Daphnia pulex: one gene and its partners. The protein of the gene in region 1 interacts with the protein of each later gene in a pairwise test. Links are inferred from orthologs where the notes say so. Each region holds a gene or a part of one and is shown on either strand. Other genes may lie near its edges. The genes, in order: tuftelin-interacting protein 11-like; puff-specific protein Bx42-like; exosome complex component RRP46-like; histone acetyltransferase Tip60-like; leukocyte receptor cluster member 1-like; methyltransferase-like protein 17, mitochondrial; bystin-like.

Region 1 (4,280 bases):
TTGGGAAGAAATTGGACCTGCAATAATAAAACAGAAGATTGTACTTTTTAGTTTAAACCCATGATACAAGATTATACTTACACAAGTAATTGTATAAGGCTTTGGGAAGGCATAAGATCTTTCCAGTTCATTATCCAGTGCCAAACATCTATTTATGTATTCAATGTAAAAGTTAATAAACGTATTTAAGTTCTGTAGTATTGTAGTAACGAACCTAATTCTTGTCGACTGGGGTTTATGTCCCAATTTGCAATAGCAACTTGCAGTTTTGGTAAAATATTTTTGATGAGGAAAGCATCCATGGAACCCTTGGAGAAAACGGGAACCCAAGGCATCAAAACGGAACTAAAAAATCCATACGGAAGTACACAATATATTAAGTTACACGTTAAAGATAGTCAGCCTTTTAAAAACTAATAAAAAAAAAAAAATACCGTGCAGACTGATCTGACGGTGACCAAGCCACCAACGCTTGTGCCATTTTATGCCGAATGTTGGGATATACGATTTCCAGTTTTGATCCTGAAAATTTGAAATTATTTAAATTTACTACATGATGCAACTATCTAACACGAGTATAAATGCACTACCTAGTCGGGGAAGCCAGGGATGGATCCAGGCATGAATGGGAATGAGATCAGTCAACGGATTCCAACTGTCTACTTCTTTTTGTATTCTGGGAAGAATGAGTTGATCCAAAATATTTTCCATGATCCAGTTTGGCAAAATTTGCTCCCACGACTCGATCAAGTCAACCATTGGATCCGCATTTTTGCAAGTCCACTGTCCAACGAGTCCTCGAAATGCTGGCATCCAGGCATGCCATAACAACCCGTGATAAGGATCCATTCGACTATCATTTTTAACAATTCCGCCCCGACTGTGAATTTTGAAAAATGTTTTACAAAGCAACTCACTCCCACCTCCCACCGAATATTCTTACCTGTTGGTCTGAGTCTTGTTGCAAAATTCCAAGATAGGTCTCCATCGTTGAAAAATTAAACGACAAGCTTCATCTGTTGATTTAGAATCCATGGGACGCCAATAGGTTGATAATCGCAACTTCATTAGGGGAATGAGGTAAGTCAGAGTAACGTTGGCTAGATCCGACGATACGTATTCTTCCGGGTAGCTTTGTTCCAAATTCCTTATCTGCTCCCAAAGGAAGTCTAGAGATAGCTCGTTTGTCGCCTGTTTCAGTTCAAGCTGTTCCAGGACTCCAAGCATCGATGTAAGCATTTCCATTCGTGTGATCTCCTTAGAAACCTCAACGCTCATATTTTTCACTTGCGATTCCATGGCCAATATTTGCTCTTGATTGTAGGAGAGTTCTTTGGCATTTTGAATAATTTCCTATTATTAACGATAAACAGAATTGATTATGAAATCCAAATAATTGTGACAATAATATCTTACGTGTTCACAATGGTCTACTAGAGTGTCCAAGTTGTAGCAGAGTTTTTCAAGTTGAAATTTATCAACTTTGAGTCCAGCTGGTGCAGGTTCGGAATCGCTTGGCTCTTCCGTCCTTTTGGTTCTCAGAGCGCTGTATCCTTGAAGAACACGTTGTTCTCGGCCTGTCATATCAATCACTTTGGCTTTGGAAATTTCACTATATATACAACAGTGTTTTAGATTTCATGCAGAAAAAATGAAAGGTCTTGATTTAAAATCTCAATACTATTACCTGTATTCTCGAGCCATTCTATGAACACCACCTTTAGACATTTCTTCAATCACTTCTTCGGAAGTACGATACATATATTGGATCTTTTTTTTCTTCGACGATGGTTCGACTAAATCTAATATTCATTTTTTAAAAGATTACTCACTATTTTAGTATATTAACTTTTCTTTACCTTTTCTCCAGTGGGCCAAGTTTTTCTTGAACTCTTTCTCTTCTTCATCATCTGATGCTTGTTTCTTTGCAGGTTCATTTTTGTGTTCAGCTCCATACATACCTATGACATGAAGAAATTGCAACAATAGAGATCAATAAGTTAAGTGAAAATCAAAAGCAATGTTTCATTACCAACTGCTCCTCTTCCTTTGCGAACCTGAGCTTCCACAGGTTGGCTTCTTCCTTGCAACTCTTTACCAAGTCCTTTTCCAGGTTGGTAACCCATCTAAACAAAGAAAAATTATTAAAATAGTAAATTAATCTGTTGGGATGCATTCAACAAAATAAAACTGACACACCTGAAATAGAAGCTTAGCACCAATTCCTTTAGTATGTTTTTCCCATTCACCAAGATCGCCAGCACCTGAGCTCTTAGCATCTTTGCTGAACCTATCAAACATTTTTCTGGGCTGTTTCTTGTCCTGCAATGTTTTCTTTCCAGCTGTAAGATTGATTTCACTGGCACTATTGTGGGAATCATCTTCTTCGTCACTATAAAATCAGAAAAGCACTGTGTAATTGTCTTTGAAAGATAACTATGTAATGGCATACCTTTCTGAATACGAAAAGAGCTTGGTTTTTTTCTCAGGTAATTTCTCCTTTTTTGATCCCTGCTGAACACCACCTTTGACAAAATCAACTGGTGTGGTGTAATCCTTGGCTGTTGACGATTTGGAAAAACCTGGACGGCCAGAAGATGACGTTGACCGCTGAGTGAAATTTTCCCCTTCATCTTCATCAAATACTCCATATATCTGTTGGTTTTTCGTCATCTTTTTAAAACGACGTTGACCAGGTTGGAAAGCATCATACAAATCTCTTTCTGACACATCGAAACTCTCCATCTCTTCTTCATTAGCCATTTTCAAAAATTTAGTAAAATGATGATGAAAATTAACCAAATAAGTTGATGATATATGTCTTTCTTTTGTATCAGTTAGAAACACATCAAATAATGATTTAGTTTGAAGAACACAAACTAACAACACACAACACAGTTAAAACTGAAAGTACAAAGTTGCTTAGTATTTTTATATTTCTTCTGCTACCTTGGAGAATGCTAAACAGTAACCAGGTACGTAGTGCGAGCGCGTATAACAGGTCCCAGCGGTTTGAACATGTGATACCAGTTCGAACTTCCTTCCCTTTTACTTATTAAAAAAAAATCTTATTTCAATCCTACTCCAGCAAATTACCATTCCTTTATTAATTAATATCAAATTATTTTCTACCACTCGTAATATATTTTTCAATAATCGGGTCAAAATTCAGTCCATGGTCGATTTTCGCATTTTGGATGTTCCTTCAGCTGAAATTTTCAAAGAGACGAGGCAATATCTTCCTCCAACATGAAACCGGTGAAATGAGTGTAGTGGTCACCGTTGTCAGCCAAATACACCCCTGGTAAGATTTGTTGAATCTGAACCCAAACTTGATCACCTGATTTCAATTTCAGCGTCGACTGGAGGGACAACTGATCATTTTGAAAAGCGACGGTGTTTCCCTCTTCGAGATAAGCAATCCCGACTCCATTCCCGTTCAGATAAAGAATGATTTGCAAGCGAACTAGAGACGTTGTAGCCGGAAGTTCAACCGATCCAGTAAAAGCGAAAGAATAAACTCCTGATCGTGGGGCCGTGAATTTTCCTGTTGTTAAGTTAAAGGCATTTCCCACGTTTATCCGCGCCACATCAAAAGGAATTGGAACCAACTCCGTGTTGAATGAAGAACTTCTCTGAACGTAGAAATGGGCGGGCGCTGATTTGACATCAGCGTATCCAATCCATTTCTCGAAACCTTTTTTAGAAATAATTTGTTGTTATTAAATAATAATTCAGAGTGCATAATAAAGAGAAAAAAAAATAAACATTTACCGTCATCGCCAGGAACTTTGGTGAAATCGCAGTAAACGGATTCCATCGTCGTAGATCCCATAATGGAATAAAATCCATTGAGGGTGTGGCCAATTAACCAAAGATCCTTACATGACGTGGGCATTCTAGTCAGGGCGACTGATCCGGTACACACCAATCGACCAAGCGTGTGGATGCCCGACGAAGTTTCCAGTTGAGTTCGGCCAAAATTCAAGCGGGTGACGGGCAGGACATTTTTGTCCGTAATGACACCTAAAAACATTTGAAGCCAAAAAAAAAATAAAGAGAATATTTACTGAGTCATTTTTGTCACACGGAAAGACGAGGAGATCACGAATATTAACTTCAACATATTTGTTTATAATTTTTCATGAAAGAAAATTAATGTTCTGTTATAAATCTTGTATAATTCCGAGAATCGTTTTCAACTCTTACCGTTATCGACTAATTGAACTGGAGCCACTGAGTCACAGTTGCACTTTGCAATAGAATCAACACAATTTCCG
Region 2 (4,182 bases), on another chromosome or scaffold:
ATTGCCATGGGGAAATGTCGCGGCTTCCTGATACATTTTCATAAGAAACACACGCATATCTACTTGAATGAACTGTATACATCCTGCATGCATTTATTATTGTTCGTCTTAATGAGATGCTCGGTGCTGTTGCGTAATTAACGTGCCTCGGGACCTCAACTATCTCTCTCTCCATGGGCAAATAACTTGAATAATAAACATGACTGCTGCCATGGGCTTATCTGTCAGTAAACTTCACCATCAGCTGCTGCGCCACAAGCACCCCGGTGCCAAATCAAGTTCCCCTTGTGCCAAGGCCTACATAGTATAGTCTGAGCGAGACAAGGCGGCCTATATCGATCGATCCGTCCAAAGAGCCTCAACCAACCCCCACCACCCAGCCAACTGTATTATCGCACAAGGGAAAAGGCGAAACTGCTATACACACACATATATAGTCTTGGATCAAATAGATGATATATATACAGAGGAAGAAGAAGACTTTGATAATGAGACGTGCTGCTGCTGCCGTTCCTTTATTTATTGGAGACCGGCATCAGCACATCTCGTATTGATTTCCTGTTGCAAAGAGAGCAGCCGTCGTCGTCGAAAAGTTCCCAAATCTTGTCCTACAACTGTCTCTCTATTATCGGATGTACTGTATGCATTGTGGATGCATTATAAAGCCCTACGCCGCAAAAGAGATTTATTGGCCCACACATTGAAAGTCGAAACGGAAGGCGGAAGAGAGACGGAGATGAGGCGAGCTCACGGTCACCGCACATCCACATTTATCATTTGTTATGGGACGAGACTCTGAACTGCCTCGCTGATTCGCATCGCTTCAAAATGAGAATCTATTCACTATAGTATATCAAACTCTTACGTTGGCATTTATGGCCACCGGATTTCAGACTGTTAAGCCAGCTATCCGTTGATAAATCAGATGGTGCAACCCTCCCAACGAGAACAGCATTTATTTTTACGACTGTGTCGTCGTCGTGGGATATATTGGCCAAAGTGAAAGTTTTTAAGGTGTTTACTTTTTTCATATGGCGATGCGCTCAGTTCCGCTCGGCGTCCAACTTGTAACACAGAGAGGGTCGATTTCATCAGCGCTCACTTTTACACGTCGGCGTTAATTGCGTTGCATCAAACGAAAAACACAGTGGGCGGCAACTCGTTATATTTTGCCTTGCCATTAGATGTTATTACAAGCAGATTGCAAGAGACGCGAAGTTCCATTAGAGTTGACAAGCGTTCGTATTTCAACTCGGGGCGGGTATGGATTACTTGACTTTCTTATTCTTTTCCACCCACTCTCGACTTTCATCTCATTACCGTAAAAAATGCCAAGAACGGCTGCGAGGAGAAGGAAAAAGGTTGTTGACTGCGCTCTTATTTTTTTATGGAACGGAGAAGAAAAACGTCGGAAGGAATATGAGAGAGAGACTGTAATAAGAAAAGGCGCGCTAACACTCTCATCTCAAGTGCGTCTATTTATTCCGCCCATCATTAAACCTTATTGGATACATCCAACGCAGAGCATACACACACACACGGCGCCACAATCTTGTAAAAAGTTTTCAGGATCGATACGACGTTTTTCCTTTTTTTATATAATTCCCATCACGTCTTGAGCGCCCCATCCCATTGATGGAGACACAATTTTATGTAAACTCTGGATAATTTAATAATATTCTTTTTTTTTTAATTTGTATCGAATAAAATGTCGATGTTGCGAAAAGCCGAAAATATCCCGCATTTTATCTCGCTCTGTTGCGAAGAAACAATCTGACAACGTTGCATCATAAATTATTCTCGAGTTACAATTTTTGTATTTGGCAACATCTTGGTTGAAAGACTCGACTGAAAACATGGCGTCGTTATCAAGGTATAATAATTATTTTTTTGATTTCCTTGTATTTAAACTATGTATTAATTATGGTCATGTTATTTTATACAGTTATCTCCCAGCGCCAACGCAGTTGACGTGGGATCGAGATGTCGAGGAGCAAAAGGAACGTGCTAATCGCCAAACGGCCATCGTGGCCGCCACAAAGGCAATCCCACCATACGGAAATCGCGATTCATGGATGCCTCGAAATGTTTCCGATTTCGGAGATGGAGGTGCTTTTCCCGAAATTCACATGGCCCAATATCCAATGGACATGGGTCGCAAAGACCAGGCTGGACAAAAGTCAAATGCCTTGGCCATCCAACTTGATGCAGAGGGAAAGATCAAATATGATGCTATTGCCAGGCAAGGCCATGGGAAGGACAAACACGTCTACTCCAAATTCACTGATCTCCTGCCTGCTGAAATTACCAATGAGGATGATCCCTCTTTGCACAAGCCCACAGACGATGAAATTGCAGATATAACAGAGAAAACGAGACAAGCCCTGGAAAGAATCACCAATGCCAAAGTAGAAGCAGCTCTTCCAGTCCGTGCCGCAGAGAGAACTGGCCCTGCTCAATTCATTCGCTACACACCAGCACAGCAGGGTGATGAATTCAATTCTGGCGCCAAACAACGCATTATCCGCATGGTTGAAGTACAAAAAGATCCCATGGAACCCCCAAGGTAAATTTTAGAAAAAGTGCCATTTCATTTCATTCCCATATTGACTGATTATTTTTCACTAGGTTCAAAATCAACCAAAAAATCCCCCGTGGTCCACCTTCTCCTCCTGCCCCCGTGTTGCATTCTCCTACACGTAAAGTAACTGTCAAGGAACAACAGGAATGGAAAATTCCGCCTTGCATTTCAAATTGGAAGAACGCTAAAGGTTACACCATTCCTCTTGACAAACGTTTGGCAGCCGATGGTCGAGGACTTCAACAGGTGCCGTCCCTAACGACCTAAAAACGTGTCTTTCCCCAATCAACTAAATGTTGTTGTTTCTCGCAGGTTCACATTAACGAGAAATTCGCGAAATTGGCCGAATCATTGTACATAGCCGATCGAAAGGCCAGAGAGTCGGTTGAACTTCGCGCCCAACTTCAAAAGAAACAAGCGCAAAAAGAAAAGGAAAAGAAGGAAGATACTCTGCGACAGCTGGCGCAGCAAGTCCGCGAAGAGAGAGCAGGTCTGCGACCCGGTGCAGGCGCTGCTGCTGCTCGTGAAGACGACGATGATGCAGCGGAGCGTGACAACTTGAGACAAGAACGGCATCGTGAGCGTCAACGTGAGCGCAACATTGCACGCGCGGCTCCCGGCGATAAAAAGTATTAAACATTTGATTTCCTTTCAACTTTTTCCAGTCAATTAATTAACAATTTCCATTGACGCGTAGATCCAAACTCGATCGCCAACGCGAGCGTGACATTAGTGAGCAGATTGCATTGGGGATGCCTGCTCGAGCTTCTGCAAGTGGCGAGACCATGTACGATCAGCGTTTACTGAACCAAACTCGTGGAATGGACAGTGGATTCGCCGATGATGAGGCCTACAATGTCTACGACAAACCTTGGCGTGAACAAGGAACTCTGTCCAGTAATCTCTATCGTCCGACCAAGAACCTCGATCAAGATTTGTACGGCGACGATTTGGATAAACTTGTCAAGACCAGCAAGTAAGTTGACCTACTTTCAAGGTGCATTGGTTTATGAAGTTGAAACTCATTTTGTTTTTCATTTGTTTACAGGTTTGTACCTGATAAGGAATTTAGCGGAACTGATCGTTCTGGTCCTTCCGGCTCCCGCAGTGGTCCAGTTCAGTTTGAGAAGGAAGAGGATCCTTTCGGCCTCGACAAGTTTTTGACGGACGTCCGCAAGGCCAGTAGCAAACGACCCACTGACGCGGAACGCTCAGACAAGGACAAGGATAAGAGACGGCGTCGAGACTAAATATTGTTTTTCTTTCCGTTGACGATTTCGCAATTTGTTTCATTTTACCTCACACAAAAAAAAATCTTTTTAAAAAAACCACAAAAACAATGATTCCTTTTCTCCAAGACCAGAATACATTTCAAATGAAATGTCTGTGACTAGTTTTATTTATTCATTGATTACGAGACAAAACACTTGATTCAATACTGTAAAGTGACGAAACATTTTGCAAGAATGTACATAATGGTAAATCGAAAATGCAGCAGAAGACTTGAATATCACCAGACAAGTGTAAGTAATAATCATCATGAAAAGAGTCCAGTGGAAAGTCCACGATAAAAACACCTAGCCTCCAGAAGCCTGTGTAGC
Region 3 (2,893 bases), on another chromosome or scaffold:
GGAAAATATGGAGAAAAATTCCGAATACAACAGCTTAGCAACTTAAAAGGCAAAAATATACACGGCAAACACACTTAAGCAACGACAGTGATGACGTAATATAATCAAAACAAAAAAGCTCTCTGGTTACTACAATAAAGGCGTTGTCAGGTGTATAGTGATGCATGGACGTGGAGGTAATTGGATCGGCGTGTAATGTTCAAAAACACTTACCCGTTGATTAATAAAGTTGCAGGCCAAATCTTTGAGCGTTTTCAGCGTTAACTGGGAGGCATCCGTGGAGATAAAGTCTCGTACCAGTCCAACTTGGAACATAAAGGTCACCTGACCATTACCATCATCCATGATGGAGCTTGGATCCAAAATTTTATGAAAAACACAATCACAATTATGGCGAAGTTTGACTTTTGGATGGCAGTGAAATTCGCACACACACAAAACTGGCCCTTTTTCGTTGGAATAGTCTGTGTGGTTGGTGTGTGTGTGTGCAATCAGGTGGGAGCAATGGAGTAAAAAAAAAAAAAAAACGGGTTCCAGCAACCAACAGGTTGATTGGAATGTCACATAGCCTCGGGCTGAGATCACCTTTTCTTTCGTCGTTCTCCCGCCCTGGCACCACTTAGATTTTTCCTTTTCTTTCTTCTTCAAAGAAAAAAGGTTGGGTTTTTACCTCCACTTGATTGCACGACAAAACTGAGCAACACGACTGTTTTAAAACCAACACAGATGGGAGCAGCACAACGCGTGATAACACGTTGGTGATGAAAAAAGTCGGTGCGAATAAGAGGGACTGGCTAATGGAAATGCCCAAACTAAATTCAATTAATACGCAGGTTTCCCAATCATGATGGCACACACAAAAAATTCACGTATAAACATCACACACACACACACACACACTAGCACACTTTACGTTCTCTCGAGAAATGCAGAAACAGACTCACGTACGTGTGTGTGTGTGTTTCTGACCGTGCAGCTCAAGTCACGATAACTTGGTAGTCTGCCGAGCTAATAAATACTGTCGCTACTCGGAGATCCGTCTTTGGCTTGCTCACAATTTTCTGGCCAAAAACAGCGTTGCCATTCTCTCGTGACTGAACGAACGAAATCCATGAAAAATACATATTCATAGCTACATTGGAAAATTGTGAATTTTTCAGGTCTTCTTTATTACAAATATAATAGTTGTTTTAAATTCATGGAGTTAAAAGTTATATTTTGTGTGATTAAGTAAATGGTTGCCATGGTAACTTAGAGACATCTGCAGACTGCTGTTGCCGACCCGTCAACCCCATGTATTTTTTACGATCACGTTGCTTATGCAGAAACAGGGCTGCGTTCTTAATCTGAATTATTGAATACTTTTTCAATCACAAAGAATTGCTTGCAATATTATTATTCGCCATGGAGACTGAAGAGAATAGCATTCGTGCTTTAAAGTGCGAACAAAGCGTACTGTCACGTGCAGATGGCTCGGTGATGTTTTCTCAAGGTAAGTTTAGATTTGTAACTTTTTCCACGCTGTTTTCGTGTTATTTTGTCCAAGTCGGTAAATTTTATTTTATTGACTTGTCATTTCAGGGAATACTGTGGTAATGGCTTCAGTTTATGGACCTTTGGAGGCTAAAATTCAAAAGGAACTGTCCGATAGAATGTACATTGAACTAAACTACAAGCCAAAAACAGGAATGCCAGGTTATTAATAACTTATCCTGTGTATTATTATTTCTGTAATATTGAATGCATTTTTATTTAGGTGTTGCTGAGCGTGGAAAGGAGAAACTCATCAAGACCACTTGTAATCACATTATTTTGACGAACCTGCACCCTCGAACAGCTGTCTGCATAACAGTTCAAGAAATGCAAGATGGTGGAACTGTAAGCACTTACCACAACAAATTTATTTTGATCAAGAATTAGTTGTTCACATTTTCCATAAACTAGTTGCTAGCAGCCTCCATCAATGCTGTGTGCCTTGCACTTCTTGACTCGGGTTTACCCCTGCAGTGTCTTGTAGCTGCAGTGACTTGTTTGGTAGACAAGAAGGATAGAATTGTCCTAGACCCATGCATCAGCACAGTCAAAGTATGATTTCCACTAAGAATTAACTAATTTTTTTCCCCCATTTTTTGTTGTTGTGCCTAACTTACTTTTTTCCCCATTACAGGAAGGTTATAAAGCAATGTTTACCTTTGCTTTTGACAGTCAAAAATACAACTTAATTCTGAGCCACTGTGAAGGCCAAGTTCCCTATCAACTTTTTCAAAAAGCCATGGAGCTGTGTCAGAAAGCCAGTCACGTCATCTTTGATTTCTACCGGCAAGCAGTACTACGAAAGTTTTCCAACGAACTTCTGTAAAACTTTCAAAAAATACACATTTTAAAGTTTTGTATATGCGACTGAAAACAAAGTATAATTGTATAAGTATAGGCTTGCTTATTTCCAGTATCGTTAAATTTCTTCGGAAAACCAATCCATCCTAATATGTCATGCGCATCTAGCAATACTCGAGTAATCACGTTCACCAAAACTATATCTAGAAGGTTTCCTGCCCGGAGCTTGGCTCCAATGCAATGCGGTACAATTTTGACACAAGTTATTTAGGTATAGTAAAAGTGCCGATTGTGAAATCAGAAAAAAAATAAACTTAACTTTGAAACAAACTCTTCTTAGAATGACATATGGTAGGTAGTTCTACCATTTTTAGGATTTATTCGGTCGGAAAATGTAGCATAAAGGAATTTCTTTTATGGTTATTCTGAAAATTTATTTCAAGGTGGTCTGGATATATCGAGTGCGATTTCAGCCTTTACGGTAATAGGCCTTGAAATGTTTTTCTCAATTAGAAAGTTTAGCCAATTAGGCTGTCAAGTCAAAGTCAACACAAATAAA
Region 4 (4,148 bases), on another chromosome or scaffold:
CGTATTGGCCATGGACAATAAAAAGGAACCACAAGCACTTCAGTATTTTTTCCGTTTGTTGGACGTCAATCATCGAAACCATCTCAACACTTTTGACCTCCATTTTTACTTCAAAGTATTAATTTCCTCATTTGACCTTTTGACTTTCTTATCTTGAAAAAAAAAAAAATGCTTTGCAGGGGGTTCAAGAGTTGATGCAGCAGCACAAACAAGAAGTCGTTGCTTTTGACGACGTCAATGATGAGATTTTCGATATGGTGCGTCCTGCCGATCCGTCAAAAATCACTTTACATGATTTGATTAACTGGTAACACACAAAGTTCATTTAGAATTTTTTTAGAATAAGATTGTCATTGAACGTTTTCTGGCTCAGTGGATACGGTGAAACTGTGATCAATATCTTGATTGATTTGGATGGATTTTGGACATACGAGAACCGTGAAGCTGTTGTCGTAACAGACAAGAATAACCAAGAGAAACAGGACATTTGAATTTGGAATTCTTGTACATAGAAATTGTGAGTGTATTTTTTAAAAAAAAGCAAAGAAGTAGCAAGATCGCGGAATGGATTGTAGGTGCGATCTCATCACCATTTCCCTCTTTTGGACCAGTCTTTCGGTGTCCAGTGCAAGCATTTGGGATCGATGTGTAATTTCCATTTCTCTTTGTTTTTTATGCAATTTTTCATCGCTTCTTCGTTCAGAATGAGTACGTACTGCCCCTTGTAGTAATTGATGAGGTTCAAATGCTGTAAGGTGGACACCACGTCCTCTTTTTTAATGCTCGTCATTTCGCAAATTTCGCTATTTAAATTAAAACGAATTCGTTTGTCAACGTGAGCTCTAGAATGAAGTAATTTACATCACTTACTTGATGGTAATTTGAGGACGTTCACCTTCACTGGATGGTTTCATATTCATCAGAATATCACAGATTGTAAAAGCCCAGTAACTGCGATAAGACAGCAACCCTAAATCGGACAGAGGTTTTTCTGGCGAGCCCGTTTTGCCTTCGAACTTGGACAGCTCGTAACCTTTACGTAAACAAAAATGGTTTTAAAAAAATATTTCCCCTTGGGTTTACGATTCTGTACGCACTGAATTCAATAAGAAGTTTTCCATATCCTTTCCGTTGATAGGGTGGTAATGTTAAGATGCAGGCGACATTGTAGTCCTCCGAGCTTTCTTTCTCTTTGCTAAAGTAGCCGACGATATGAAAACCTCGTGCATCCACTTCAGTCATGACGTAAAAGAGGAACGGATCAGTGTCGTAATACAGTGTCTTGTGATCAAGGAACAGTTTCGCTAGCAGGCATAGGTTCTGAGCGTATGCTTTATTTTTACGGCCGTCGATTTCAAAAAAAGAAATTGTCTGTTTGCGGTAAACTTCATTGCCTGGCGGATGTCTAAGATTGCACTTCATCTGTAGAAAAAGTTTAAGGGTTGATCATCCAATTAAAAATATATCGTAAAATTTTAAATTACCAGATGACGTTCTAGACATTTTTCACTTTTCCGGTACTTGAGACAAAACTCGCATATGTAAATACAAGCTTGGTGAACCATTTCCTAATTTTTGAAAAAGAATAGTAAACATTTCGGATCTTTACGTTCGTTAGATGATGACATACCTGAGGGTAGGGTGCGAAATACCAAGGTTTTATTCTGTGTCTGCCGAGTTCAATCATTTGAATATTTTTCATTCGTGTTACAACGTCATCGTGATGTGTAACAAGACTGCCCGACTGACGTGGCCCTGGTGTAGTCGGTGCAGGGGTGGACGGTGGGGCCGGAGAGTTAGCATCTCCTACCTCACAAACTGAATCACCTATGCAGAAAATTTTAGTTTTAATAATCATTTATATATAATAAATAGATTGTAGAAAAAATGACTAATTACTTGTAGGAACAGCACAACTATCGCTAACTACGGTGGGTGGCAGAGTGGGGATTGCTGGTAATTCTTTTTCAATTTCTATAAAAATAAAATTTAAAAGAATTTATGAAAAATGTAAAGAATTAATGAAATAAAATAACTTTACTTATAAGTTTCTTGGCAGGTGGGATTGGAATAATGGATCCTGGACTGGGCTCTTCTTTTTCTCCAATTTTACGTTTTCTTCCATTTCTCTTTTGTATTGCTGCAGCCAGTAGAGCAGACCCATTGACAGTAAGGTCTGATGCACTGGATGCAGCTAGTGGGGAAGAAGGACGGGAAGAACCAGTTGTTCCTCCAACTTTTTTAGGAGTACTCATGCCTGTGCCTACTTGAGTTCCATCTTTTCTAGGAAACTGAATTTTTCTCGTATCTAAGAAATCTTCTGAGACCCAATCATCAAGTCGTTTGTTGACTAGAGTTGAATTAAAAATTTTGTAAGATGATGTATCGTTAAACATAGCATATACAAAACTTACAGTCGATGTAATGGACATAAAACATCCTGATGTTGCAGATATCTTTGACACTGAGTACTTCGGCTAGAGCTAAATGATAACAAAAGAAAAACCACAATTAAACTTTCAAATCTATAAAATGATAACAAAGCAACAAATGTTACGCCAGTCTTCGGTGTTTCTCATCCGTACAGGCAACCGACAGCCTTCAACAACAGATGCCTAGATAATAGAATAAACAAAATTAAACATGGTTTCTAATGAAATAATGTAAAAATTCATACAGTTGAATCTGAAAACAGATCTTTATCTACAATCTCTTCTTTCATTTTTGACAATGACTGTTCGGTCTTCATTAGAGAAAAAGCTTTCAAAACAACAGTGCGCGGCCATGAGCGACATTGCCGCTTTTGCCGGTTGGAAATGGTAGTCTTCTGCTAGCTCTCTCACAAACTGGACCGATCAGTCCCATTTCAAATTGTAAAATGAAATTTCGGTTATGAAAATTCTCGACAAAATTTAAACCATAAAAGTGCAAAAATGTCACAGTATGGATTTGTTGCTATTCATCTTGGAGCAGGCTGCCATAGTTCAAAATCTGAAGCTATTTACAAAAAACTTTGCAAAATAACGTGTGAAAAGGCATGGCTTTCTATTAGTGATTCATGGTTTCATAGTTTGACTTGATAAGTTTTTCCCAGGGAGCAGCTTTATTGCAAGAAGGAAAATCTGCACTAGATGTTACGTGTGAATTGGTTTGCATATTAGAAGATTCACCACTAACTAATGCAGGATATGGCTCCAATCTCACTGAGAGCGGTGAAGTTGAATGTGATGCAGGAATCATGTTGTCTTTGAAACATCAAAGAAACACACGATTTGGAGCAGTCTCATCACTTAAAAGTATTAAAAATCCTATAATGGTAGCCAAAGAAATCATTTTATACCAGAATGAACCAAGACTTCTTGGTAGAACACCTCCACTGTAATTCAAAATACCATTTGCATCACTTAAAATGAGTGGTTAAATTAACACAGCCTTTTTTTTAGTGTTCTAGTAGGAGAAGGAGCGTCTGATTTTGCTAAAAACCGAGGTTTGAATCTTGTTCACAATAGCACTCTTATATCTGACAAAGCCATGAGAAAGTATAAGAAATATAAAGAACGGCTGGAAGTATCCAGAAAAGCTTTATCAAGTGGGCTAAAGATCACAGTGCAGCCAAACCCAAGTCAAGTAATATATTTGGTTTCCTAAAGTAATGTTATCCAAATATCATGGTTATTTTTTAAATCTAGGATACAGTAGGAGTAATTTGCATAGATACGAATGGTGACATTGCAAGTGCATCGAGTTCGGGAGGAATTGCTATGAAGCTTCCCGGCCGAGTTGGACAGGTTTTCCTTTATTCCTTCTTGTCATTTTAGTAGTCATTTACAATGTGTATATTGCGATAGGTGCCAGTTTACGGCTGTGGTTGTTGGGCGCAGCATTCCAGCTCCGGTGGTGTTGCTGTGTCAACTTCTGGTTGTGGCGAGCAACTCATCCAAACAACCTTGGCCAAGAAGCTTGGTCAAACCATATTAGAGCGAGGAGATCCGGCTTTCCACTTGAAAGAGCTCATGTGTGACGAGTTCATCCATTCAGAAATGCTGTCTGATGACGTCTATGACCGGATGGGTGGTGTTCTAGTGGCGTATTATAGCGAAGATTCGATAGATTTCAACATGGCCTTCACAACTGATTCGATGGTCGTC
Region 5 (3,140 bases), on another chromosome or scaffold:
TTTTTACATGATTACTAAATTTTTAATTATTTTTCAGGCCCAAGACTGTGGTGATTTCTGGAGCCCAGGTCAAAGAAAAGGAGGTTTTCTCTCCCGAGGCAGCTAGAGCCATTCATGAGAAACCAGTTCCCACTCACAACCATGATGCTGGTGCTGGTCAGCATGGCAACAAAATTAATTTCATTCAACAACCTCGTAAACAGTAGATGGTAGTTTCAATTGTGATGGACTTGATTGTGATTATTTCTAATTGCTAATGATCATTCATTCCACTATTGCTGTGGACAATCTAATATTGTTTATTCAGACAGGTTGTGTTTATTATTTACCTTATCACTGGTAATTTTTTTTTCTTATGGTTTTCTTTTGGTTGTTCTGTTTTTGAGGGTTTATATGAAGGACTTTTTTCTTACTTGCTCATCATGGTTGAGGGAGAAAATGGTTAATTTTTGTACTCTTTTTTTTCACTCTTGTTAATTAAAAGAGAAATACATTTACAATCATGAAAAAAGTCTTGTATATTTCAATAATTTTATGGGACAAAATTATTACTGCAGCCAATACTTGGTTGCAGAATCAAGTGGTTGATTTTGTTTAGCAACATCAGGATTATATTGAGAATGATACTTTTGTTTCGGCTTAGCCTTAACTTTCCTTTCATCAGAATCGCTGTCGTCAGTGCTTGATCGGCTCAATTGCTTTTCCTTTGATGTTGCAGCAATGGTGCCGTTGACGGTGGCTAAAAGTTTGTTGGCTTTGGCACGTTCAGCCTTTTCACGCTGAAGTCTCTTGGCACGTAAAATTGCCAATCGCTTTTCCTTTTCCGCATCAGAGTCTTCGGATAAATTTGAGGATTCTGAAGTAGAATCCTCTGAACTTGAATTACTTGTTTTTCTTCTTTTTTTCTTGCTTGCTTGAGAATCGTCAGTTGAACGACGTTTATCCTTTTTGTGTTTCTTAGATTTCTTCTCTTCTTTTTCTGATTTCCTCTTCTTTTTCTTGTGCCGTTTTTCTCTTGAAGATGAAATTGCTTCTGGTTTAGCAGCGGGAAATCGGAGGTCAGGAAGCTCAGACTTTTTTTTTGTTTGATCTTTCTTAGGAATTTCCGGTTTTCCTATATAATGCCGGATCACTCGAAGGGGATCAAACATGTCTTTAGCTCTTTCTGCTTTATAGTTGATGTCCTCTTGGGTCTGATTTTTCAGGGTCTTTAACAGAGAAGGTTTCTCATACCAAGCAGATTCACCAGTCGACTCCCTTGATCCTTGTCCCAAGTAGGTGAGTAAACCAATCTGTTTTTCATAGTCTTCTTGTTCCTTCTTCTTTTCAAGTTCATGTTCTTTATTCGCTACTCCTTCAACCTGTTTGCCCTCTTCCAAGTTGGCAAAGAAGTTTACATGACCAGATGGGGTGAATTGGACAAGATTCTTCTCTTCAGTTATAGGAACAGACACACATGCTCCATTCCTGATCACAATCTCGTAGCGAGTCTCAGTGGTACATGGGACTTCCTTTTTCGTTGACTCTTCTACTGAGGTGAGACCTTGTCTTTCTCTTGCCCGAGTCCTCAGAATGGTGGTTCTAGTTTCTTGCTCCTAAAACATTAATTTATCATGAGTTTCTCTTGATTCATTGACATCTTTAAAAATTAATTACAGCAAGTAAAGCACGTCTTTGTTTTTCCTTTTCTTCTTCGGCGGCTTTGGCTTCATCGCGTCGAACTCTAGCTATATTGTCTTTGGTTCTCACATGCCATCTAATACGCAGGAAATCCTTATTAGTTAAATGACATAAGTGAGAATAAATTAAGACAAACGGGAATACCTTTTCTTGGGTAAAATGTTCATCCCGAAGAACGATTACAAACCCAACTTTATCCCCAACTTGACAGAAAATAAAAATAACAACAACCACCTAGCGGAAGGTTTGACAGTTAAAAAATGTTGGCTCAAATTCAAAAAAGAAAAGCCCCACTTGCTAAACGATTTCATCGTGATTTCGATCGAGTTTCTTACTTTCTTTGCAAAATTGAATTCTGAGTTCTGACCCGTCTGACCATACGACATTTTCATGGAACGCCGTTTGTGCCACTTTTTTTTTAAATGCAACGTTGTTTTTTTATAACATAAAAACCAATTTAAAAAAAAAAAAAGATATATTGAAACCAATTTTTTTATATTGTTAAGAGCTTGGATGGAACAGAACTACAGAAGGGACTAGTCGGGAGTCTTTGAAAACGCTCTGTCTATTTTTCCACCCACACACTTCAAGCGTAGCCGTTGACGTTGACGATCGTTTGCATGTTTCACGGTACAATCTTTCTGATAATTTATTTTTCTACAAATATATGAAAAGAGGGTGGGACCGGCCCATACTTTATTCACACCTCTATTTTTCCCTTGGGCCAGTTGCTCAATGTATTGGCCTATTGGATCTGCAAATTTGTAAGCATTAAAAAAAAAAACATTTGATTTAAATGCAAATTAGATTCTGATAGAACCATGTTAAAATCTTTGCATAAAATTCACTTGTTATATTATTAAATAACAATTAAATGCAATTCTACTTTTTATTTTGTTATGATTTATTAAGACTTTAAGGAGGAACTCTAGAATTTAGGCACACGACGGACGACGAAAAGAGCGTTAGTTTTATTATAAAAGGCAATGAAGACATTCAAGCGATACTGTCCACCGGATGCTGCTTACAAGTTAAAAGTCTTATTGATGACTCCAGCCATAGAAGAAGGTCCTGCAGTGACAAAAGAATTGCCAAAAGCATTCCCACGAGCGAAGGTCACCACTACCAGTGGGCAGAAGGATCACTTCCATCACTTCACCGAAAACCTGCCGTGGTAGGATACCCGGCGGTAGGTCATGGAGGGAACGGTCGGCAGCATGTTCGTACATGGGTCGAAACGGTGTGTTCTCAGTAATGCCGTTGATGAACGTTCTTGCTGCTGCGCAGGCGTGTTGATCGACCCGCTCACGTAGCGATAGAGTAGTCTGGCCGACGTAGTTGATATTACAGGGTCCAAGTCGGCGATCGCATTTCCGACAGCGAATCCCGTAGATGACGTTGGTGGCACCCCCGAGGTTCACCTGCGGAGACAAGACGAGTTGCGACCCTTGGAATCTGGC
Region 6 (3,937 bases), on another chromosome or scaffold:
TATTCCATACTTCAATGCTCCAATTTATTTGGAAAACAAGCAGCAGATTGGCAAAGTTGATGAAATTTTTGGTTCCATTAAAGAGTATTCAGTTTCAGTGAAACTTAGTGAAGATGTTAAAGCTAAATCATTTACACCCAATCAAAAGGTAAGAATATGATACTGTTACTCTAGACTTGTTTTTATATTTATCTAAATTTTTTTGTTTAGATTTACATTGATCCTGCAAAGCTACTGCCATTGGGCCGATTTTTACCTCAACCAGGAGGAGCTGGTCGCGTAGCCAAACGCGGGGGAGGTCGAGGTGGTGCCGGTGGTAGAGGAGGTTTTGGCAGAGGAGGAGGTGGTGGATTTGGTCGTGGAGGTGGAGATCGCGGAGGAAGAGGAGGATTTGGTGGCAGGGGCGGAGGTGACCGTGGAAGAGGAGGATTTGGAGGACGAGGAGGTGGGGGAGGATTTGGAGGACGAGGTGGAAGTGGCGGATTTGGATATAAATTTCAGAAGTAGCAATCAATCTTTTCTTTGTTTCATGACTCACCAAGTCACCAATAAACCATTAATTTTAAAGGTTTTTTTCGTCTTCCAATGTACACTCTAATTCTGTTGTATCAGGACGAGACAGTTGAACAGGTAACAAATCACCCCATTTTGTTCGACGAGCCATTAGATTTTCTAACCTAAAAATAGAAATTTACGATTTTACTTACTGAAATTGAATTCAGTAGTGAGGTTTTTAAAGTTAGTTACTTGCTGTTTTTTGCTCGAGTAATAACGATTTCTTCAAGCTTTCCCTCTTGAGTGCATAGTCTGCATATTACATGACCAGATCGAACGAGAACAGGCCGGACTACTCTAGGCCATTGCAAGTCTTCATCAGGCCGCTGGCCTAAGAATGACGTAATTGTTAATTGAATGAATACGCCAGGGATGTTACACTACAGATTACCTTTCTTCAAGACTAAATAAGAATACCTCTCTTTTTGTATTCTTTGGTTTATTTGAAGGGGCTCATATTTAACTTCAAAGTTGCAAGGAGTTGTTTCAGCTAGCCGTGGACATCGTGTTTTGTTGGGGCACTATTGAACGATGGAAGATTTAAATAAACACAAATAGTTACAGTAACGTTACAATTTACCGGTGCAAAAACATAGCCTTGAAGATTTGATTCCTTATTTCCTTCTGATAAACTAAGTAAAAAATCGCGAACTTCCATTATCACCTATAATCAATTGTATTATTTTAATTTACACTTAAAATTACGAATAAATGAGCATTATCTTACCTCAAAAGCCGCTCGACTTCCATGCTCTACAAATACCAAATAACCTTGTGATTTACGCCATAACGACAATGCTATCTGTAAACGTAACTCTGCTGAAGGGAGTTCCAAAAGCGAATGGGCACAAACAACAAGATCATATTTCACCTAAAATTGAACAGAGATTAATTTTACAAAATCATCCCATGAAAGGAATACTTACAGCAGAGGATGCAGGCATGAACTGTCGGAAATAAAGGCCTTTAATGGTAGATGAAAATTCTTTCTCATCCAAATCTATTGGGTTAAAATCTGATGCTTTATTAGGCCAAACCCCTCCTTGAATGAGGGCAAGGGCTAGGTTATTCATGTCAACAGAAGAATCAACACAGAAGACTTCTTTAAATTTCTTATCACCCCAACATGACTTGGCTGACCTAAAATATAAAATAAAATAAAATAATAGTGCAACACACAGTGACGGGGACCATCAATGAACTAATAGCTTTATATCTACCATAGTGCTGAGCCAATTCCAGACCCAAAATCAAACAGAGTTTGTGGTTGGAAATTTTGGTCTCGGCTGCATATTTCCTGAAATATTTGGTATAATGTTGCATATTCTGGGGCTATTCGTGCCACCAGATAAGTCAAAGCAACTGCTTCGTTGTAAATCACTGGTTTCCATCTGTAGGTATTTTGGCTTACAACCTTTTGTATTTTACTTTTTAAAGTATTTTGTATTTTCTTTTCGTCTTCAGCACTTAAAAACGAGTTATCTAAATTTCAACATGGAATGGTGTTTACAATTCAATCAAATCAAGGGAAGTTTAGTGAATTTACCTGGGGATGGGTGAGCTGCAGACAACTTTTCAGTGAATCTAACTTTTATTTCTTGAAGTTTAGTCTCAGTTAATGGGGGTTTCTTGAAGATTAAATGATTTTTCAAAATTTCGGCATTCTGAGATAAGTTTGTATCTGTGCAACTACTAAGAATTTTATCAACTGCTTTTTTCAACTGTTCGGGCAATTTCACAGTACTATGACTGAAAACTCCAAGATGCTTTCCTTTCGGATTAAGTTCTGACGTTTGACTGTCTGAATCTTTGCCATTAGACACGTCAAATTTGGCGATAGGACGTGAAGACGTACTAAATGAACTGTTGAAATTCTTACTTGATACATATATACGACTTTGCATGTGTAAATATCTTGGAGAAAACATTTTGATTTTTAAAGAAAATACAGACAGACGACACACGTGTTATTTGGGGTGTTACTAAACAGCATGGACTACTTTAATTAAGGACGGGACTCTTCTGCCATAGATAAAGAAGACTGGTTTCGCATGTCCTATCCTTTTAGCCCTATCCCTACTTGTCCCTACTGACCCCGAGTTTCTGTTTTGCTTGTCCTGCCCCTAGCGGATAAACTGCTGTACTGCACCGTGGCTAGCAAGGGTGTTGCAGACGAAAGTTGTTTTCCTTCTGTCTTGGTAAAATTCTTTGCTGGCGTTTAAAAGTTCTAGGTAATTTTTTCATCCAAATTTTTACTTAAAAGTCATTTTGTATTAAATTTTGACGTTTGCCAATTGCAAAAGCAGAGAAATCAATTGAATGATTGCAATGGAATAGATGTAAGCAGAGTGTAGAGAATAAAACGTACACTAGAGGGCAGGACAAGCAAAACAAAATCGGGAAAATCGGAGGAAGGGTAGCAAGAATTCTGGCGACAGTTGGCCATGTTAATTTTCTTATGGACAGCATCAACCAGTGGTCTTTGTCTATGCTTCTGCATTTCCTACGGAGCAGGACGCAAGTCCCAGTCCCAGTGGCGTTAGGTTAAATGCGTCACTGGTTCCAAATTGTCATAAATAGACATAGGTCCCATTGTCGAATTATTCCAACGACATGCGTACCGAAAGTAAATGTACCCGATTGCTTTAAATTCCGGTAATTGTGGTTATAAGATCCAATGCTCTTATGTCCCGACGACTTAATTTCCAAACGACTTATGTCCCGACGACTTAATTTCCAAACGACGCAAGTACCAAATGTTAAAAATCGAATATCTGGCATCGTATGTAGTGACTTTTTTAAATACGTAGCCATCTAGCGTTCAGTTTTACATACATGATTTTGTAGTTAGCAGCATGGTTTTTTCGTTTTTATTTTACAAGGGAGCTTAGGATTAGGAGTTTAGTACTGTATGTCATGACAAAATTGTTTTTACGGTCTATCCGAATTTTTTTCACAATAAATGGATCCAGCTGCCGGATTCCTTACGCGATGGGCATTACGTATATGCGCGCGTGCTTGCGCGTTCCGGAAATCATAAGATAAAACGAATTGCGCTAAATGGAACCTAGCGCATCAAGCACAATTTAATTGTTTGTTTTAGGCGGTTTTAGGTGGCTCGCTTGTCGCGTTGAACAAAAAATCTAATAGGCTAATTATAAAAATCGATAAAAATCTAGCGCTATCCAAGCACGTATGGCACCGGTGATTGATTGATTTGTTGACTTACGCTCCAAAGTTCCAGGTGCTCTTTCAATAGCATGCAACCCCCAACCAGTGGATTAAGCTCCTGTGCCAGGCGTATTTTTGCCTGTCCTATTGGGCCAGTCAATGATTCCTCCAGCTTGACGAAATAAATATGACTCTTAATCTCTCTTTTGTC
Region 7 (3,981 bases), on another chromosome or scaffold:
AAGAAGACCAATCAAGGATCCTGATGTCTTGTAGCACAGCCCAAGAGATGTGGATGAAATTGGAGACTGAGTATGAAGAAGATGCCGCAGACAATGCACCTCTATTGTGGACAAAGTTCTATGGATGCACATTTCGACCAAGCCAAAGTGTATCAAGCTTCCTGACTGAGTTGGAACAGATAGCATTCCGTCTGAAGAGCCTCAACATAGCTATTGATGATAATCAAATAATGGCAAAGATACTCATGTCGCTTCCTCCAGAGTTCCGTGTTTTTGCCTTTGCATGGGACAGCACGCCTGTTGCAGAGAAAACTCTCAAGAAACTGACTACTCGCCTTATAGCATTGGACAAGAGCCTGCGCAACGACGAAGAAGCAAAATCGACATCTGATACTGCCTATCTCAGTAAGCCGAACAGAGATGAATCACAGCACAAAGAGCAAGCACTTCCTGCCCAGTACGGTCAGAACAAAGGAAAAAGCCACCCTTCCAGTCAACATGCTGGTATACCGAGAACATGCTGGGAGTGCAACTCCACTACGCATGTTAGAGCTCAATGCCGTCAATACAAACGCCGGCGTGAGAGAGAAGGAGAAGAAGCGGACAGAAAAAGGAAGCGTTACGATCGACATGACAGAAGAGATGATAAACTATGTAAGCTCCCAGGAGCAACTGGCCGATGCACTCACGAAACCCCTGGCTGCTCCACGCTTCAAGTATCTCCGTGACAAGATTGGCGTTCGGGGTGTAGGGGAGGTGTAACTGAAGAGTTAAAGGAGGCTGATATTTCTTTTCTTATTATTTGTCTTGTGACACTGAACCTAGTATTTATGTCTGATTCAAATATGCTGTGTATTCTGTGCTCATGTTTATTTTTGGGGGTCCAGTTTGAGGGGAGGTGTTGAGTATAAAAGATAAACAAACTGGACAGTGCGGCAACGCAGGATAGCCAGGAAAGAAGAGAGGGGGAGAAGGACCTACCCAGACAAAGGAATAAGAGAGGGGGACTCAGTGCTGTTGACGATTGTGGCTAGGCGAGTAGCAATACAAAGCGTTCTTTGCAGCAAACAGGTTCACGTGTTAATTTCTATATCAACACTGCTAACATAAAGCTATAGTAGCAATATGGTTGTTACACATAAGCTACATAGAATATTACATAGTATACGTGGCTTATAAAAGAGAGGTAGGACCGTAGGAGTAAAAATTATTTTGAATTTTGAGATTCTGTTATAAACGGCGTGTACGTCGCGTTGATTCCTAAATAAGTTATACTTTTTCTCCGTAACTAATTCAATACTTTTTCTCCGTTTTTTGCGCAAGGTAAACTCAGGAGTAACGAAAAAAAGTAAAACCCTTCCGATTCAGAAGAATCCTTAAGCTAAAATAATATATTTAATAATTAAAAAATATAAAGATTGGCTGGAACTGGGAGATGGTCTATTCTATCTTTTAATTTTTTCTCTGAATTTAAATAGCTACAGAGAATTCCTCATAGGGGTGCTGCTTGCGACACGACACAGGGGGCGATGTCACATCTTCAAAAAATTCGGGCCGCCTACATTCTAGGTTACTGTACACACAATTTACATCCCCACGTGTTGTCTAAACATTTGTGAGGTTACCGCTCATAGATACTAGTAAGTAGTAACTAGTAATTTCATTGCAATCCAAGTCTTTACGTGTGTTATCAATAGAAAATGGGTAAAGCAAAGAGACTGAAAGTTTCAAAGACAGGAACTGGAAGAACTGAAGGTCTTGACAAACAGATTTCAAAAGAAGAAATTGCCTCAAGTAAAGGGCGAGTCAAGGTAAGTTTAATTGAAATATTTTTATTGCTTCAAGAGACTTCTGTGAATTAATAGGTGTATCTATTTTGGTTGTTTCAATAGGTCAGAGGGAGAACTGATGCAGATGATGAGTTTGTTGATGATAAACTCTCAGCAAGGATTTTGAAACAAGCCCATCAACAACAACAAGAACTTGAAGAAGAAATTGAAGGAACTGGCTCTTCGTTTAAAGTAAGCTCTACGTTGCTCAAAGTTTTATTAACTTGGTTAATTTTATGTTTACTAGGCAAGAGCCACTTCCTTAGGAGCAGATTTAGATGGAGATGGAAACAGTGAAGAATCAGACTTTGAAAAGGATTCACAATTTGAGGAAGATGTGGTAAGGTTAACTGCTTATTAATCATATCAAGATGATGGTTAAGATACTGATGGTTGACTGTATTCTCTATAGCAAGTTGATGAAGAGGATGAAAAAGCCCTGGCATTGTTTATGAATCCCAACCCAGCACCAAGGAGAACTCTGGCAGACATAATTTTAGAAAAAATAACAGAAAAACAGACAGAGATCCAGAGTCAATTTTCTGAAATTGAAAGTAAGTTGCAAATTTATTTGATTTAAATGGACTAGAAATAACTTGATAACATTTAAGGCGTCAAGTTTCAAGATGTGGATCCTCGAGTTAAATCGTTGTACCTGGGTGTGGCATCAGTTTTACATCGCTATCGAAGTGGAAAATTACCCAAAGCTTTCAAACTGATTCCTTCATTGCAAAATTGGGAGCAAATTTTGTATATTACTGGTAATAAGATTTTCTGTTTGGTATAATTGCAATTAAACTTAAAAACTGATTTGTATGTTCTGCTTTTAGATCCGGAGAAATGGAGTGCCGCCGCCATGTATGCTGCTACACGAATATTCACATCCAACTTGACAGAAAAAATGGCCCAGCGGTTTTTTAACTTGGTTCTTCTGCCACGTGTTCGTGATGATATTGCCGAGTTCAAAAAACTTAATTTTCATCTTTATCAAGCCTTACGTAAAGCCCTCTTTAAACCTGGCGCGTTTTTTAAGGGATTTCTTCTTCCGATCTGCGAGGTTGTGTTAGATTGTTTTTCATATTTTCAAATTGTTTCATATACATTTTCATATTTAATTGCAGAGTGGGACTTGCACTTTAAGAGAAGCCATAATTATTGGTTCCGTCATTGCTCGCTGTTCCATTCCCGTTCTACACTCTGCTGCAGCGATCTTGAAACTTGCTGAAATGAATTATAGTGGATCGAACTCGATATTTTTGAGAATATTCTTCGACAAAAAATACGCTTTGCCGTATCGTGTGGTTGACGCAGCTGTTCATCATTTCGTAAAGTAATATATTTACACTTTTTATGAAATACTGGATTGTAACTCTTGTTAATTAATCTTTCCTTTGTTTGCATGTAGATTTCAGCTGGATACAAGGGAAATGCCTGTTTTGTGGCATCAATCACTTCTAACCTTCAGTCAACGATACAAGGCTGATCTTAGTAGTGAACAAAAAGAAGCGTTGCTTCAAGTGATTTCCGTTCACAAACATCATACATTAACACCAGAAATCCGTCGTGAATTGTTACACTCCTCTTGCAGAGATGAAGAAATGATAGATTAAAATGAAAGATACTGTGAATAATAAACTCGGCGTCTGAATTCATTTGTTTTCTATTCCTAGCAAACAGTGTTTGATTATGAGAAGTCAAGATGGAATGAGATCTTACCTGTGGTTATGAAACGGATTTTTGGAACATTCGTATTTTTAGATGTTATATCATCAGTTGAACGAAATATCATCGCTGAATATCGATTTGCGATACTAAAAGCAACATAAGCCAATTCAATTTCAATATAGGTTAATATACGTTCTTTATTTCCAAGGCACTTCGGAAAACATTGAAAGAGATATTACACACATCTCTTTTCCCTATCCCTTCAAAAACTGTCAGCCAAAAATACATTCGGACTTGTTACGATTTTACGAGGTTAAAGAACGAAACGCTTAAGCATGACGGTGAAAACACAAAAGGTAGAAACTGCGACTGATTATACACGCCTTGAGTGAAACCATTATTAACTAGTGATTGGTTAACAAGATATAAGTTTGATCTGATACCAACATTCATAGGGGGGAGGGGGGGGGGGAAAGGCAAATTATGT

Evidence for each region.
Region 2: the proteins of tuftelin-interacting protein 11-like (region 1) and puff-specific protein Bx42-like interact in binary tests that used the Homo sapiens proteins (3 or more experiments, as listed by UniProt). The link is inferred for Daphnia pulex from reciprocal best matches to the Homo sapiens genes TFIP11 and SNW1.
Region 3: the proteins of tuftelin-interacting protein 11-like (region 1) and exosome complex component RRP46-like interact in binary tests that used the Homo sapiens proteins (3 or more experiments, as listed by UniProt). The link is inferred for Daphnia pulex from reciprocal best matches to the Homo sapiens genes TFIP11 and EXOSC5.
Region 4: the proteins of tuftelin-interacting protein 11-like (region 1) and histone acetyltransferase Tip60-like interact in binary tests that used the Homo sapiens proteins (3 or more experiments, as listed by UniProt). The link is inferred for Daphnia pulex from reciprocal best matches to the Homo sapiens genes TFIP11 and KAT5.
Region 5: the proteins of tuftelin-interacting protein 11-like (region 1) and leukocyte receptor cluster member 1-like interact in binary tests that used the Homo sapiens proteins (3 or more experiments, as listed by UniProt). The link is inferred for Daphnia pulex from reciprocal best matches to the Homo sapiens genes TFIP11 and LENG1.
Region 6: the proteins of tuftelin-interacting protein 11-like (region 1) and methyltransferase-like protein 17, mitochondrial interact in binary tests that used the Homo sapiens proteins (3 or more experiments, as listed by UniProt). The link is inferred for Daphnia pulex from reciprocal best matches to the Homo sapiens genes TFIP11 and METTL17.
Region 7: the proteins of tuftelin-interacting protein 11-like (region 1) and bystin-like interact in binary tests that used the Homo sapiens proteins (3 or more experiments, as listed by UniProt). The link is inferred for Daphnia pulex from reciprocal best matches to the Homo sapiens genes TFIP11 and BYSL.

What each region holds. Positions count from the first base shown.
Region 1 is NC_060026.1:12,432,152-12,436,431, reverse strand, and holds the start of tuftelin-interacting protein 11-like, read right to left. Parts: upstream 2,801-4,280; 5' UTR 2,764-2,800; coding exon 2,453-2,763; intron 2,393-2,452; coding exon 2,200-2,392; intron 2,127-2,199; coding exon 2,033-2,126; intron 1,962-2,032; coding exon 1,860-1,961; intron 1,803-1,859; coding exon 1,688-1,802; intron 1,613-1,687; coding exon 1,417-1,612; intron 1,354-1,416; coding exon 944-1,353; intron 881-943; coding exon 591-880; intron 523-590; coding exon 435-522; intron 346-434; coding exon 215-345; intron 149-214; coding exon 82-148; intron 18-81; coding exon 1-17. Other genes in the region: uncharacterized protein LOC124205947, read right to left, coding at 3,219-3,697, 3,775-4,026, 4,210-4,280. UniProt on the Homo sapiens protein: Involved in pre-mRNA splicing, specifically in spliceosome disassembly during late-stage splicing events. Intron turnover seems to proceed through reactions in two lariat-intron associated complexes termed Intron Large (IL) and Intron Small (IS).
Region 2 is NC_060018.1:215,997-220,178, forward strand, and holds puff-specific protein Bx42-like, read left to right. Parts: upstream 1-1,382; 5' UTR 1,383-1,856; coding exon 1,857-1,873; intron 1,874-1,945; coding exon 1,946-2,566; intron 2,567-2,628; coding exon 2,629-2,827; intron 2,828-2,893; coding exon 2,894-3,210; intron 3,211-3,278; coding exon 3,279-3,557; intron 3,558-3,629; coding exon 3,630-3,831; 3' UTR 3,832-3,966; downstream 3,967-4,182. Other genes in the region: uncharacterized protein LOC124188708, read right to left, coding at 4,119-4,182. UniProt on the Homo sapiens protein: Involved in pre-mRNA splicing as component of the spliceosome. As a component of the minor spliceosome, involved in the splicing of U12-type introns in pre-mRNAs.
Region 3 is NC_060020.1:3,912,812-3,915,704, forward strand, and holds exosome complex component RRP46-like, read left to right. Parts: upstream 1-1,255; 5' UTR 1,256-1,404; coding exon 1,405-1,492; intron 1,493-1,581; coding exon 1,582-1,695; intron 1,696-1,756; coding exon 1,757-1,878; intron 1,879-1,944; coding exon 1,945-2,085; intron 2,086-2,167; coding exon 2,168-2,359; 3' UTR 2,360-2,393; downstream 2,394-2,893. Other genes in the region: serine/threonine-protein kinase D1-like, read right to left, coding at 214-345. UniProt on the Homo sapiens protein: Non-catalytic component of the RNA exosome complex which has 3'->5' exoribonuclease activity and participates in a multitude of cellular RNA processing and degradation events.
Region 4 is NC_060018.1:12,586,060-12,590,207, reverse strand, and holds histone acetyltransferase Tip60-like, read right to left. Parts: upstream 2,801-4,148; 5' UTR 2,750-2,800; coding exon 2,678-2,749; intron 2,616-2,677; coding exon 2,558-2,615; intron 2,484-2,557; coding exon 2,415-2,483; exon of another isoform or gene 2,351-2,414; coding exon 2,042-2,350; exon of another isoform or gene 1,975-2,041; coding exon 1,900-1,974; exon of another isoform or gene 1,828-1,899; coding exon 1,631-1,827; exon of another isoform or gene 1,569-1,630; coding exon 1,485-1,568; exon of another isoform or gene 1,423-1,484; coding exon 1,098-1,422; exon of another isoform or gene 1,034-1,097; coding exon 871-1,033; exon of another isoform or gene 804-870; coding exon 587-803; 3' UTR 500-586; downstream 1-499. Other genes in the region: serine/threonine-protein phosphatase 2A regulatory subunit B'' subunit gamma-like, read left to right, coding at 1-115, 180-307, 374-491; threonine aspartase 1-like, read left to right, coding at 2,934-3,035, 3,095-3,378, 3,444-3,627, 3,690-3,788, 3,849-4,148. UniProt on the Homo sapiens protein: Catalytic subunit of the NuA4 histone acetyltransferase complex, a multiprotein complex involved in transcriptional activation of select genes principally by acetylation of nucleosomal histones H2A and H4.
Region 5 is NC_060021.1:6,396,198-6,399,337, forward strand, and holds leukocyte receptor cluster member 1-like, read right to left. Parts: upstream 1,896-3,140; 5' UTR 1,848-1,895; coding exon 1,825-1,847; intron 1,757-1,824; coding exon 1,657-1,756; intron 1,596-1,656; coding exon 549-1,595; 3' UTR 501-548; downstream 1-500. Other genes in the region: death-associated protein 1-like, read left to right, coding at 38-206; uncharacterized protein LOC124193654, read right to left, coding at 2,721-3,140.
Region 6 is NC_060025.1:4,359,753-4,363,689, reverse strand, and holds methyltransferase-like protein 17, mitochondrial, read right to left. Parts: upstream 2,600-3,937; 5' UTR 2,484-2,599; coding exon 2,102-2,483; intron 2,038-2,101; coding exon 1,776-2,037; intron 1,696-1,775; coding exon 1,482-1,695; intron 1,427-1,481; coding exon 1,283-1,426; intron 1,220-1,282; coding exon 1,136-1,219; intron 1,077-1,135; coding exon 947-1,076; intron 887-946; coding exon 748-886; intron 678-747; coding exon 563-677; 3' UTR 508-562; downstream 1-507. Other genes in the region: H/ACA ribonucleoprotein complex subunit 1-like, read left to right, coding at 1-148, 211-507. UniProt on the Homo sapiens protein: Mitochondrial ribosome (mitoribosome) assembly factor. Binds at the interface of the head and body domains of the mitochondrial small ribosomal subunit (mt-SSU), occluding the mRNA channel and preventing compaction of the head domain towards the body.
Region 7 is NC_060024.1:1,297,751-1,301,731, forward strand, and holds bystin-like, read left to right. Parts: upstream 1-1,498; 5' UTR 1,499-1,640; intron 1,641-1,697; 5' UTR 1,698-1,700; coding exon 1,701-1,811; intron 1,812-1,892; coding exon 1,893-2,021; intron 2,022-2,076; coding exon 2,077-2,169; intron 2,170-2,241; coding exon 2,242-2,383; intron 2,384-2,440; coding exon 2,441-2,590; intron 2,591-2,659; coding exon 2,660-2,886; intron 2,887-2,950; coding exon 2,951-3,159; intron 3,160-3,234; coding exon 3,235-3,439; 3' UTR 3,440-3,481; downstream 3,482-3,981. UniProt on the Homo sapiens protein: Required for processing of 20S pre-rRNA precursor and biogenesis of 40S ribosomal subunits. May be required for trophinin-dependent regulation of cell adhesion during implantation of human embryos.